Pelodiscus sinensis: one gene and its partners. The protein of the gene in region 1 purifies or fractionates together with the protein of each later gene. This does not show direct contact. Links are inferred from orthologs where the notes say so. Each region holds a gene or a part of one and is shown in the gene's direction. Other genes may lie near its edges.

Evidence for each region.
Region 2: the proteins of SMAD7 (region 1) and ACVR1B purify together in Homo sapiens (affinity purification with western blotting; 3 studies listed by BioGRID and IntAct, with this or other methods). This does not show direct contact. The link is inferred for Pelodiscus sinensis from reciprocal best matches to the Homo sapiens genes SMAD7 and ACVR1B.
Region 3: the proteins of SMAD7 (region 1) and RNF111 purify together in Homo sapiens (affinity purification with western blotting; 3 studies listed by BioGRID). This does not show direct contact. The link is inferred for Pelodiscus sinensis from reciprocal best matches to the Homo sapiens genes SMAD7 and RNF111.

Annotation. Positions count from the first base shown.
Region 1 is NC_134716.1:116,252,273-116,256,019, forward strand, and holds the start of SMAD7 (mothers against decapentaplegic homolog 7), read left to right. Parts: upstream 1-941; 5' UTR 942-2,621; coding exon 2,622-3,117; intron 3,118-3,747. UniProt on the Homo sapiens protein: Antagonist of signaling by TGF-beta (transforming growth factor) type 1 receptor superfamily members; has been shown to inhibit TGF-beta (Transforming growth factor) and activin signaling by associating with their receptors thus preventing SMAD2 access.
Region 2 is NC_134729.1:5,485,953-5,489,699, reverse strand, and holds the start of ACVR1B (activin receptor type-1B), read left to right. Parts: upstream 1-1,338; 5' UTR 1,339-1,425; coding exon 1,426-1,531; intron 1,532-3,747. UniProt on the Homo sapiens protein: Transmembrane serine/threonine kinase activin type-1 receptor forming an activin receptor complex with activin receptor type-2 (ACVR2A or ACVR2B).
Region 3 is NC_134724.1:30,138,541-30,142,287, forward strand, and holds the start of RNF111 (E3 ubiquitin-protein ligase Arkadia), read left to right. Parts: upstream 1-1,003; 5' UTR 1,004-1,416; intron 1,417-3,629; exon of another isoform or gene 3,630-3,725; intron 3,726-3,747. UniProt on the Homo sapiens protein: E3 ubiquitin-protein ligase. Required for mesoderm patterning during embryonic development. Acts as an enhancer of the transcriptional responses of the SMAD2/SMAD3 effectors, which are activated downstream of BMP.

The DNA of each region.
Region 1 (3,747 bases):
GTGATGATGTTTTATTAATATCCATGGCTCATTTTCCTCACTTGTAAGAAAGGGTTAATTACACTTACCCACCATTGAGATCCTCTGATGACAAGTGCTGTACAAGTGCAAAGTGTTTTCATTACATTTTACCTAATGTCTTTCTTTGGCTTTACAAATTAACTGTTGATTTAGTTTATAGATTTTTTAAAAATTGCAATTTATTATGGCATTTATTTATTTTACACAACCACAGTTGTAGGCCTCCCCTCCTGTGGTCAGATACAGGGCCTTTGGACAGACACAGGGAACTGCATCAAACAATCCTATTTCAGGATCTTTGTTTTACTTTTTCTGGGTGTTTTCTACACCCTCTTTTCTCACCCATCTGAAAAACCATCTTTTTGCATCCTTTGTGCAAGCACCTCGTATATATGTCTCTTTAATAAGGGCCCAATGCACAGCTCCACCTGACCCCAACTAAAAACAAATCTGCCAGTAACTTCAATGCAAAGAGAGCCACAAATTACAGTAATAATCCAGCATGCAGAAAAACAAAACAAAAAAGCCCAAACTGAGTCTGCAAACTCTTTTTTTGAATGTGAAAGCAAACCCTGTCGATACAAATATCGAGCAAGCTACCCCTCACCGCAGCATCTCACTGATAAATATCCTCTTGAGTTCATCTCCATGAGCAATTATTTCCTTGGTGCACTGTATCTTGATCGTGGTTTGGTTTTTTTTTAAAGAAAATTAATGTATTTCTTGAATGTGATGTGAATTCTATGCACTTCCCCTACCCGCTCCCCTCCTCGCTCTCCAGACTTCAGAAATAAAAAAATAGCTTTTAGAAACCCGATCTGTTGTTTGCGCAACACAATCACTTTTTTTTTTAAAGCGACAGGGTGTCTAGACGCCCACGTGATTGGGGGCCGGGGCTGGGCAGCGATACTGCGCACTGCGAGTCACCGAGGCAAAGCGGCGAGGAGGGGGGAAGGAGAGGAGGAGGAGGAGGCTGTTGGCTGGCTAGAGAGCCGAGCTGGCGGACGGCTGCAAGGCTATGGACACTGCTAGGTAATAGCCACCTCACTTGGGAGCCCCCCTCCTCTTCGCAGGCCACCCCCTCCAAAAGACAAGGAACTCCCCCTGTCGCCCAAGGGAAGGAAGAAGAAAAAGGTGTGTGCGTGTGGGGAGAGACAGAATCTTCTGCAATGAGCGCTCTGTGAAGGAAGAAGGGAGTGGAAAAAGGAGGGGAAGGAGGAAAAAAAAAGGCAAAGCAACCCAAGCGAGCCAAGCAAAAGGAGCTGCTTTTTTCCCCCGTGTGTGTTGATAGCCGATGCAAGGACTGGAAAGGCTGCCTTGGAGGAGGAGAGCTGCAGCCAGAAGGGAAGGAAGAAGAGCGAACGGCTGCATTAGCATGTACTAGCGAGAGAAAGAGCGAGACAGAAGAGAGACTGAAGGGGGGGGGGGGGGGCAGGTGATAATTTCAGCGCCTGTCATTCATTATAGGATCATCCCTGCCACTTCTCACCCATCCGTCCTTTTATTTTGTAAGGGTTGGGTGGGAGGAGAGGTGGGGGCAACTGTATTTTAAGAAAAACTGTCCCTACCTCCTGGTCTTTCTGAAAGGCAGCCAGGGAGAGGGGAGCGGAACCAGCCTTTTGGAAGGGAAGAGAGACTCCCACTTTTAAATATATATATATATATATATATATATATATATATATATATATATATATATATATATCTTAGCAGCCGCCTCGACGATTTTTTTGGTGTGTGGATTAAAATCTTTGCTAAGAAGAAGGGGAAAAAGCATCAGGAAGACTTGGGCGCTTTTTTAAAAAGGATGTAACATTCTTGGGTGCATTTTTTTTAAAAAAAATGTAAGTTTTTGTGATTATTCAGACGTCCACATTTTAGTTTTTTTTTTAAATTATGAGTTCTTTTGGCTCTTTCTTTTTAAAAATCCACCCCCTCTTGTAGAAAATCCTTTTTTCCCAGTCCCCTTCCAAAAAACTCTTATTTTTATGGAATCTATGGATATGTTATTACTAAGGAAATAGGGGTTTTTTTTTTTAAATCGTGTGCCTTCGTTTTGCAACACAGTTTTTGGGGGATGGGGAACATCTTGATTTTTTTTTATCTAAAACAGTCATCCTCATCTGAAACCAAATGTGATCTAGAGATTTTGCAATCACTTTGACAGACCTGCAACACAAGAAGATCTGTTCTTCCCCTATCTCTTTGACGGGGGAGCATGTTTTCTGCAATTCTTCTGATACAGTGAACATTTGATTTCTCCCCTCCACCCCATCTCTTTTAGTTTCTGTTCTCCCAGTTCCTATTTAGAAGTAGTTGGTGAGAAATTCTGAATAGATCTGTATGAAACTGTAGGATTTCCAGCGGCTTTTTGAAGGATTTAAGAGAGACAGGAACAACTCCAGCCCTGTAAGAGACTGGCGTATGTTACAGATTGCTTTGGCTCTTCCACAACCTCCACCGCCACCAACCCTCCTCCCCACTATATCCCTATCATTTCAGGCTGCTTGTGTTGGCTGCCTGGACTCGGATCCCGGATTCTTCATGATTTGCGGACGACATGCTCGTTTTTTAGCCGGGAAACCTTCTTCTCGTCCCGCATGTTCAGGACCAAACGATCGGTGCTCGTCCGGCGACTCTGGAGGAGCCGTGCGCCCGGCGGGGAGGAGGAGGAAGGAGAGCCCGGGGAACCAGGAGCGGACAGCCGGGCGCATGGGGCTGGAGGCGGCCGGGGCTGTTGTATGGGCAAGTCGGGGAAGATCAGCAAAGCTCACCTCGGCTCGGAGGCGGAATTGAAAGCGCTGACCCACGCGGTCCTGAAGAGGCTGAAGGAGAAACAGCTGGAGGTGCTCTTGCAAGCGGTGGAATCCAAAGGGGGCACGCGGACCTCCTGCCTCCTCCTGCCCGGCAAGGTGGACTCCAAACTGGGCCAGCATTGGTACTCGCTCCCTTTGCTGCTGTGTAAAGTATTCAGGTGGCCCGATCTCAGGCATTGCTCGGAAGTGAAGAGGTTATGTTGCTGTGAATCTTATGGAAAAACTCACCCGGAGCTGGTTTGCTGCAATCCCCACCACCTCACCAGGCTCTGTGAACTAGGTACGCCGGAGGGCAGGCATGTGCACGGGTGGGAAACTCCCGAGCTGGGGTGGGTGAGCGGGTAGGAACACGGGAACTGCCGTATGCACAGAAAATAGGGACATAGGGGTGGGAGTCCAACACTGGTTCTGAGGATGGTTGGATAATCAGCGTCTATTGTCCGCGTTTGTGTCACACAATAGCCGAGGCTTCCAGGTTTTTTTACTCTGGCAAAATTCGCACGTCACCCTAGGAAGGTGCTTGGAGTTCGGGTTGCAATTTTTAGCCGGCCTCTTCCCTTGCAAGGCGCTTCTTGCACAGCGGGTTTCCTTTTTTTTTTTCTACCTGCAGTAAAACAAGGATGTGGTTCACTGTTGTCTATATGGAGAAGGCTGTGTACAAAAAAGGAAACCCTGTAACCCTTCAGATGCCTTGAACCTTTCAAACGATATTCAGCAGTGAATTTTTGCTTTAGAGAGGGTTGATAATTTGCAGAGAGGTCCCGGCGAACGAGCCAGACGTGCATAATCTAGATCTGCTTTGCTTTGGGAAATGGATCCCTGGAGTTTAGGTTTAATAACTGAATTTCCAGCCAGTCTTGGATTTACACAACAACCCAACTTTTGGACGCTAGTGGTTCGCAAATTCCCC
Region 2 (3,747 bases), on another chromosome or scaffold:
TTTCTGCTTATGAGCTTGATCCTACAACATATGGGTTATCTCAGCACCCTCTGGGACTGGAGTTTTTTATTACTGTAGCTTTGGGATCTTTGTGTGTCTGCACACACATACACACATGCTTTAGGAACTCAGAAAATTAATCACTGGCTTGGCTTCCAGCAAGAATTTAGGACGGAATTTTTTTTTCTGGAATGCAACAATCAGTAAACCCAGCACACCAAGTCCCAAGGGACCAATAGATTGGCGGCATGTTCTCTATATAGGAGAAGGGAGGGAGAGAGAGGCCAGCAGTTTGCAATGAATGTGCTTTAATTGGAATGCCAGAGACTCCACTGGTGCCTTTCTGGGTAGCAATGAAATGGTCTGGGATGTCCAGCCAGCCAGCCTCAAGCTCACATTGCTCAGTCTGTCTGCATTTAGCATGTTCCGCTGCCAGGTTTGCTGGATGCTGGGGTCTGAAAATAGCCCTTCTAGCCAAGAGCAGGGGGATCCAGTATCACTGTGTCGGCAGAGCAGAATTGGAGGGTGGGAAAAATAGATTATTTCTGTGTCTGCAATGCTAGGCTTCATGTGTAACCACATTAGAGTCGCCTCTACCTGTAGTGCCTTGGGTGACATTGACTCCCTCCAAGGACATGAAGACTAATCCCATATGCATTGTAGAGATGACTGATGCATCCCCCTGTGTATTGCCCACACGTTACATGCAGCCTTTTCTTGGTTGCACGGCATGTCTGTGTGACACCTATTGCTCTTCTCTCTTTTTGTGAATACTACACTAGTTCTTTCCAGGTGTGCTTCTCAGTTAGGATGTAACATCCATGTGCATTGCACAAAAACCGCACACTACTCCATGAGCAGGGCACACAGAACGGTGTTGGCTTCTCCGGCACTGCACTGCACGCCCATTGACCATTCCCACCCGCACTGCACTATACACACTGGCCCTTATAAGGACACTAGCTCTCTACTGGGTACGCGGCATACACCTGGCACACACATTGCCCCAATTCGCACCACCATTGTACACCACTTGCATTTGCACACCCGCTGCACGTTCATTCCCTATCACTTGCATACCCGTGTGCTTGCACATGTGCACACCCGCTGGCCTCACTATCCATCCTCACCCCTCCAGCCCCAGCGGCCTTTGCACATACATTTGCACACGCACTGTGCACCGATGGCTCCCACACTCCTGTCCACACCCACCGACTAGCCCACGTGCAGCCGCACGCTCACTCCCTCCCGAGGACAGTGCCCCAGACGTGCTCTGTTTAGTGTCGGCGGACAGCTGCTCCCCCGCCCTCGCCTTTACGGGCGGGCCTCCCCTTTAAGGCCCGGCAGCCCCGGCGGCGCTGCTCGCTCGCGCTCGGTGTCTCGCGCTGGCCGGGCCCGGACGGGAGCGAGGCTGCGGTGGTTGCTATGGCGGAGTGGGCTCGCGCTGCCGGCCCCTTCTCGCGCTCGCCGCTGCTGGGGGCCGCGCTCGCGCTGGTCCTGCTGCTGCTGGGCGGCCCCGGGGGAGCCTGGGGTGAGTGCGGCGGCCCAGGAGCCCCCTCGTGGGGCGGCGGCCTCCCGCTGCGGGGGGGCTTGGTGCTTGTGAGGCCCCCCCTGCTCTGGGGGGGGCCAGGATGGGGGGGTTGAGGGGCCCCCCTGCCCTCTGGGGGGGCCAGGATGGGGGGGTTGAGGGGCCCCCCTTGCGCTCTGTGGGGGGCCAGGATGGGGGGGTTGAGGGGCCCCCCTGCTCTCTGGGGAGGGGCCAGGATGGGGGGGTTGAGGGGCCCCTTGCGCTCTGGGGGGGGCCAGGATGGGAGGGGTTGAGGGGCCCCCCTTGCGCTCTGGGGGGGCCAGGATGGGAGGGGTTGAGGGGCCCCCTTGCGCTCTGGGGGGGCCAGGATGGGGGGGTTGAGGGGCCCCCTTGCTCTTTGGGGAGCTTTGGAGAGATGGGAGGGGCTGAAGGGCCCCCTGATTGGGGGCCATGCTCCAGGAAAGTGCAGGGATTTGGCAGGTTGGGGGCCTACCTACAGGGCACCTGAGGGCTGCCTGTCTGGAATGCAGGGATGCGGGGGGCTCAGGAGCTTCCCCCCGTGCTGCAGGGAATGGGGTTACCTTCCTGTGCGGTGTCTGAGATATATTTGGGGATCTCTTTCCAGAGGGTAATTGAAGGAGCTGCAAGTGTCTCTTTTCTTTGAGGGGGTGCTGGGGTTTGGGGGAGGTATAAGTGAGGAGGGTCTCTGGGGGACAATGGGTAGGGGTGCCTGGGTCTGTTATTTCCTGGCAGGGAGGAATGGGGGGGATGTCTGGGAGGAAGGGATTGGGGCACCTTGGCTTAACTTCCATAGGTGGGATCTGAGGTTGGGAAAGAGGCTAGGTGCGTACAGGTTTAGCTGAGGGGGGCCTTATTCTCATGGATGTAGGGTTAAGATGGTGCAGGTCTAGGAGGAGACTCTAGAAGGAACTGCTGTCTGAGAAGCTGGCAGGAGGCTGTGGGGGCTAGGTATGTGAAATCCCATTTTATCAGTTAACCGATTAAACATTGTTTAGGTGGTTAACTTTAAATGAGGCAGGGAGGGTGGGTGGGGGGAGGCTGGCTGGAGTGGCCCCCTACTCCTGCTGCGGGGCTGGCTAGTCCACTGGTTAATTCTAATTGGTAAGCATCATGTTGTAAGGGTGATGTTTACCAATTAACCATTGGCATCCTAGAGGGGACTGAGCGTATTTTACAAAGGACATTTGGGGAGCCACATTGTCTAGGCAGGCAATAGGAAGTGTGTGTGTTCAACTGATCGACCTTCTGTATAGGTGTAGGTTCTGCTTTTTGTTGTGTGAGAGGCTTGGAATGCTTTTTTTGTGTTTTGGGAACAATAGAAGGCAACTGAAGACTTATAGGAGAGGGGAGAGGGCTGTCTCCATTCCGGGTATGGGAAAATATTTACCAGAGGGCTCTCAGATTACCCTCTTTTAAAGAATAGGGAAATTTGGGGAGCTTTTCAGGGGGTGGGCTTTCTTGTTCTCAGTGGACAGATATTTGTGTATAGGCAACCCCTTCTACCACACATTGTAGGCTAGTGTCTCAAAACTGTATATCGCTGATCTATGGCATTTCTACAACTTCCATTCCATTGGTAGCCTTCCAGGACTGGTGCATGACTAGCGTGAGGGGTTCTGATATCTGGCAATACCCATGTTCCTCTAGAGCAGTGGTTCTCAAAGTGTAGTGTGCGGACCACCTTCCAGGGGGTTCATAACTCAAGCTCAGCCCCTCTCAATGCTCATCGTTGCCATGCAGCCACGAGGCCGCACCACCAGCTCTCGCTTCCATTCGGAGGGTACGCAGGGGTAGGGGAGAGTGAAAAAAGCCCCAGCCTTTCCTGCCAGACCCAGCTCACTGAATCTGCCTCTCTCTGCGAGCCAGATCTAGTGGGGAAGTTGGGGCTTTCTTCAGCTCCCCATCCCCTGCATGCCCTCTGTGTGGGATGCCGGAGCTGGTGCTGCAGCCTCGCGGCTGCACAGACGCCTCACGGCTGCTCAGACTCCCCGCTTCGTGGGGGCCGGCGGGTGGCTGAGCTCTCTCCCCATCCCGCTGGGAGAACCTCAGCGTGGTGAGACGCTGTCCAGAGGCTTTCCCTCTTTGCAAGGGGGCACAAAGCCAGGTAAGCGTCCCCCTTCAAGCCAGATCCCTGGATCCTAATCCCCCTCACTCACTCCCCACTAAGACCCTGCGTCCCCAGCTTGCTCCAACACCTC
Region 3 (3,747 bases), on another chromosome or scaffold:
ATCTTAGGAACCCTTGGTTCAAATGACCACAAATTTGGATCGCTTGTCAAACCCTGGACTTCCATGAAACACCAAAATTAAAGACAATCTGAGACATTGCAGATTTCAGAGCACTTAGAACAGCTAGGTTTTAACCTGAAAGCTGGTCTTAATCTTAACCATAGTGGAACTGGTGTACCATTATAATAAAGAGCCCAGGTATTCTTCACTGGCATCAATCATCCAATGAGGGACAAGGACCCATCCCATATGTAGTTGAACTAAGCTCTACCAGAGCATAGAGAGATGAATCTCTTGACTTTTTAACTAGGTGATACTGAGTAAATGAGAAAAACTAAGTTGGCAAGATTCTCTGTACTTTTTATAATACATCTTTATTTATTTGTATTGTGAAATGAGAAAACTGTTCGGTACCAGTTAATGAAAAATGCTTTAGCATAGGTCTGAATCCAGCACCAGAAACTTCACTGATTGAGCCTTCATAATAAAGAAGAGAATGCTGCAGACTTCTTCTTGCAGGTGTATACATCACTGATCTCTGAGCTATTTTAAAGTAAGCACCTAGTCTTCTTGGTTGCAGAACAAGATGAAGCGATTCAGAAGGGTAGCCCAGTTAGTCTGTAACAGGAAAAACGTAAAAGAAACTAACAGTTTAGTAGCACTTTAAAGTTTTGTTAAAGTGATACCAAACTATTTGTTATTTTTTAAGATGAAGGGAGTGCAGCTGAGAGGCTAGGAAACCACAAATACCCTAATTTATTTAACAATAGCTAGTGATTTCTGACTGAGCCAATCGCATGATGTGTTTTGGCTCTGGCGAAACTGCTTGCCACTCTGCCCTTCTCACGGCCATCCTGAGCGCTCCCACCCTCCACAAGCCAGCCGTGGGCTCAGCACAGCGGCCCTCGCGGTGGCTGCCGCTGCCATTCCCGCCTCCGCCCAAAAGATGGCGCTCTTCAGCACATGCCATGCTACCCGAAGCCCCGCCCAGGCGGAGGAGCCGCACGGAAGGAGGGGTGCTTGGCGCAGCGGCTGCGCTTTGCAGGCTGCTGGAAAGCAGCACTAAGTGTCGTGCCGCGCCTGGGGAGGGAGGGCTTGGCAGCGGCGGTCCGCGCAGGGGGCTGCGCAGCAGACAAAACCTCAACCGCCTTAGGCTGCACTTTCGCCGGGCCCCGGGCGGCTTCGAGCGGGGATTCGGCCAGCGGCGCGAGGGCCGCGTTGCGGGCGGTGCGTGAGGGGCGGCGGGCCACGGGAGCGGGCGTAGCGGAGAAGAAAGCCGGGGCCTGCTGGGCCGGGCCAAGACGAGCTGAGCAGGGTCCTTCCGGTGGCTGACGGCGCCTCTTCCTTGTTCTCCCTTCCCCTTGCTGGGGGCTGTTACCCCGCCCAGCGCCCCCTCCCTCGGCCTTAATGTCCCAGGTACGTTGGGGTCCCCGGGTGGGGGTGGAGCGTAGATGGGGGAGAGGGGGAGGGAGGCGCTGGGGAAGGGAGAAGTCTGTATTGTCCGCCCCAAGGTGTCGGTTGTGCGAAGCTGCGGCTGGTGCTAACGGTGCGATGGGAGGCAGATAAAAGGGTCTCGGGTGAACGGGCCCGTGTGTTGTGTGGGGTGGGTCAGGCCTTTCCTGTGTGAGTGCTAGAGTGACGGTGGGGGAGAGGGATCAGCGTAGGCTCCGCTGACGGAGTTGCCTCAAACTGTGGGGGCAGTTCAGCTGATGGAGACGTACAGTTATTTTTAACCGTCTCATTGGCATGGACGCCAAAACCTTGTCTCCTCAGGGAGGTTAAAGGTGTTGTGTTCTTTTGTTGTTAATTAGCCCAAAATAATCTCCTGAATTTGCTTTTGGTGTGTGTCTATAATACATGCTTCAATTGAAGTAATAGGCCTTCATGACCAAAAATGCGGGCATTTTAAATTTCCATGAAAGAGTACTCACTATGTATATTTGGCATCCATTTCTCATGGCTGTCATTGATTTTCTTTTAGTGGGGTATTTTAGGAGAATGTGGTCTACTCCAGTGTTTTATAGAGGCCTTAAAAAATTTGTTTTTCCTGCTCTACTAATTTCTTTTTGTCATGGATGCTGCAAAAAAAAAAAAAAAAAGAAGTCTGGCTTGTCTTAGGAATCCGAGAAGTTCATGTTTAAAAAGATGCGTTTGGGGTTTTTGATTCTTTTTTTGTCTAGCAAGTTAAATTGCATAGCTGTTTAATGTAAAAGACAATCTTATAATTTGATCGTTTAAAGAAAGAAATTATTTGCTTTACTGTTCAAAATATGGCCTGTTGGTAGACTTTCTAGCAGACTCCGTTGTTTACAGTAGTGCCTGGGGGCTAGCTGAGAACAGGGCCCCACTGTAGTAGATAGTATGCAGCGTTGTAAACAGTCCCTGTCCTGACAAGTGTACAGTCTGAATAGAGGAAACAGGTAAAAGGGTGGGTGTGTGATGGGGCAGGAGGGTAAGAATAAGTTATAATATGCCAGCAGAATGATGACTTGCATTTGTCATGTTAATACTACAGTCTATTAAAAATGTTAGAGGATTAGCTAAACAGAGAGAGAGAGAGAGAGAGGTAAAAGAAGAAAAATGCATGGAAGTTGATGGGGGTGGCTGAGGCATAGGGATAGATTGAGGCACTCTGGCCTCTCTTCTGATTGAGACGATCCAGAGTCAAAACTCATCAGATGACTGCCCACACCTGTGGGTACAAGGTTATGCTACACTACCTTCTGAGGCTCCTTGTGGGTAGCTTAGAGTTCACCAGAGCTAGCCAGCACAGACAGCAATTTGCCTCTCTATATTAAGGTCTAACTATCATGTTGAACAAAAACGTAGCCTTTTTCCCTACTGTGGATAAGTCTTAAGAGCAGGGGAGGTCTTTTGATCAAGAATAACATACGTTAATAAATTTAGTCTCTGTGAATATGTATTCAGGGTTTCATGTACATAAGCGAAAACCTGTTCTGTTTTTTCAAAGAGGAATATTCTTTATACATCAGTTTACACATCTTCTGCTTTGGTAGTAACTTTCTATTTAGATAGCTCAGTTAATGGTTTTATTTTTCACAGAATGTTGAACCTAAAAGCTGAATTGTCAGATAAATGAGATAATGGCAATAATTTTAAGAGGGAGAAACTTAATTCAGATGTAAACAAGACTAATAGTACGGGGTGAACCAGCCATGATGCAGGTAGTTACTGCACAAATGCTTTTCAAACAGCTCTACCAATGTGTCTTAATCCCGATCTGCAGTGCACATACTATTCTTGTTCTAATCTAGACTTTTGTCCTAAATCTACAAACCTACATATTGAACCAGATTGATTTTGTGATATTTAGTTTGAATCTGCAAAGAATTTTTTTTTCACTTGGACTCTTTGAACTCAAGTTTATTCTCTCCCACTGGAGTTCTGAGCTATTTAAGAACTTGTCTAGATAGACATATTATAGCTACAGCAGTATAACTGTAGACTTTAATTTCCCCATGAGGACAAGCGACAAATTGGGTCTTGAAACATCTACCAGACACTTACTAGATGGACAGTTACTAATCCTATCAGCAAGAGATGAAAAATGAAGGGCTAATGGTACTTCATCCCTTCTTATTTCTGTCTTTCCTGATTGTTGACAACAGAAAAATGTCTGCTATTACCAGAGAGTCTCATAGCTATATTGTACTGGAAGAAATGGAAGAAGTCTCTGATGCACTTCCCCAACAACCATAAGCTAGGTATTCCTCTCTAATGAGTAAC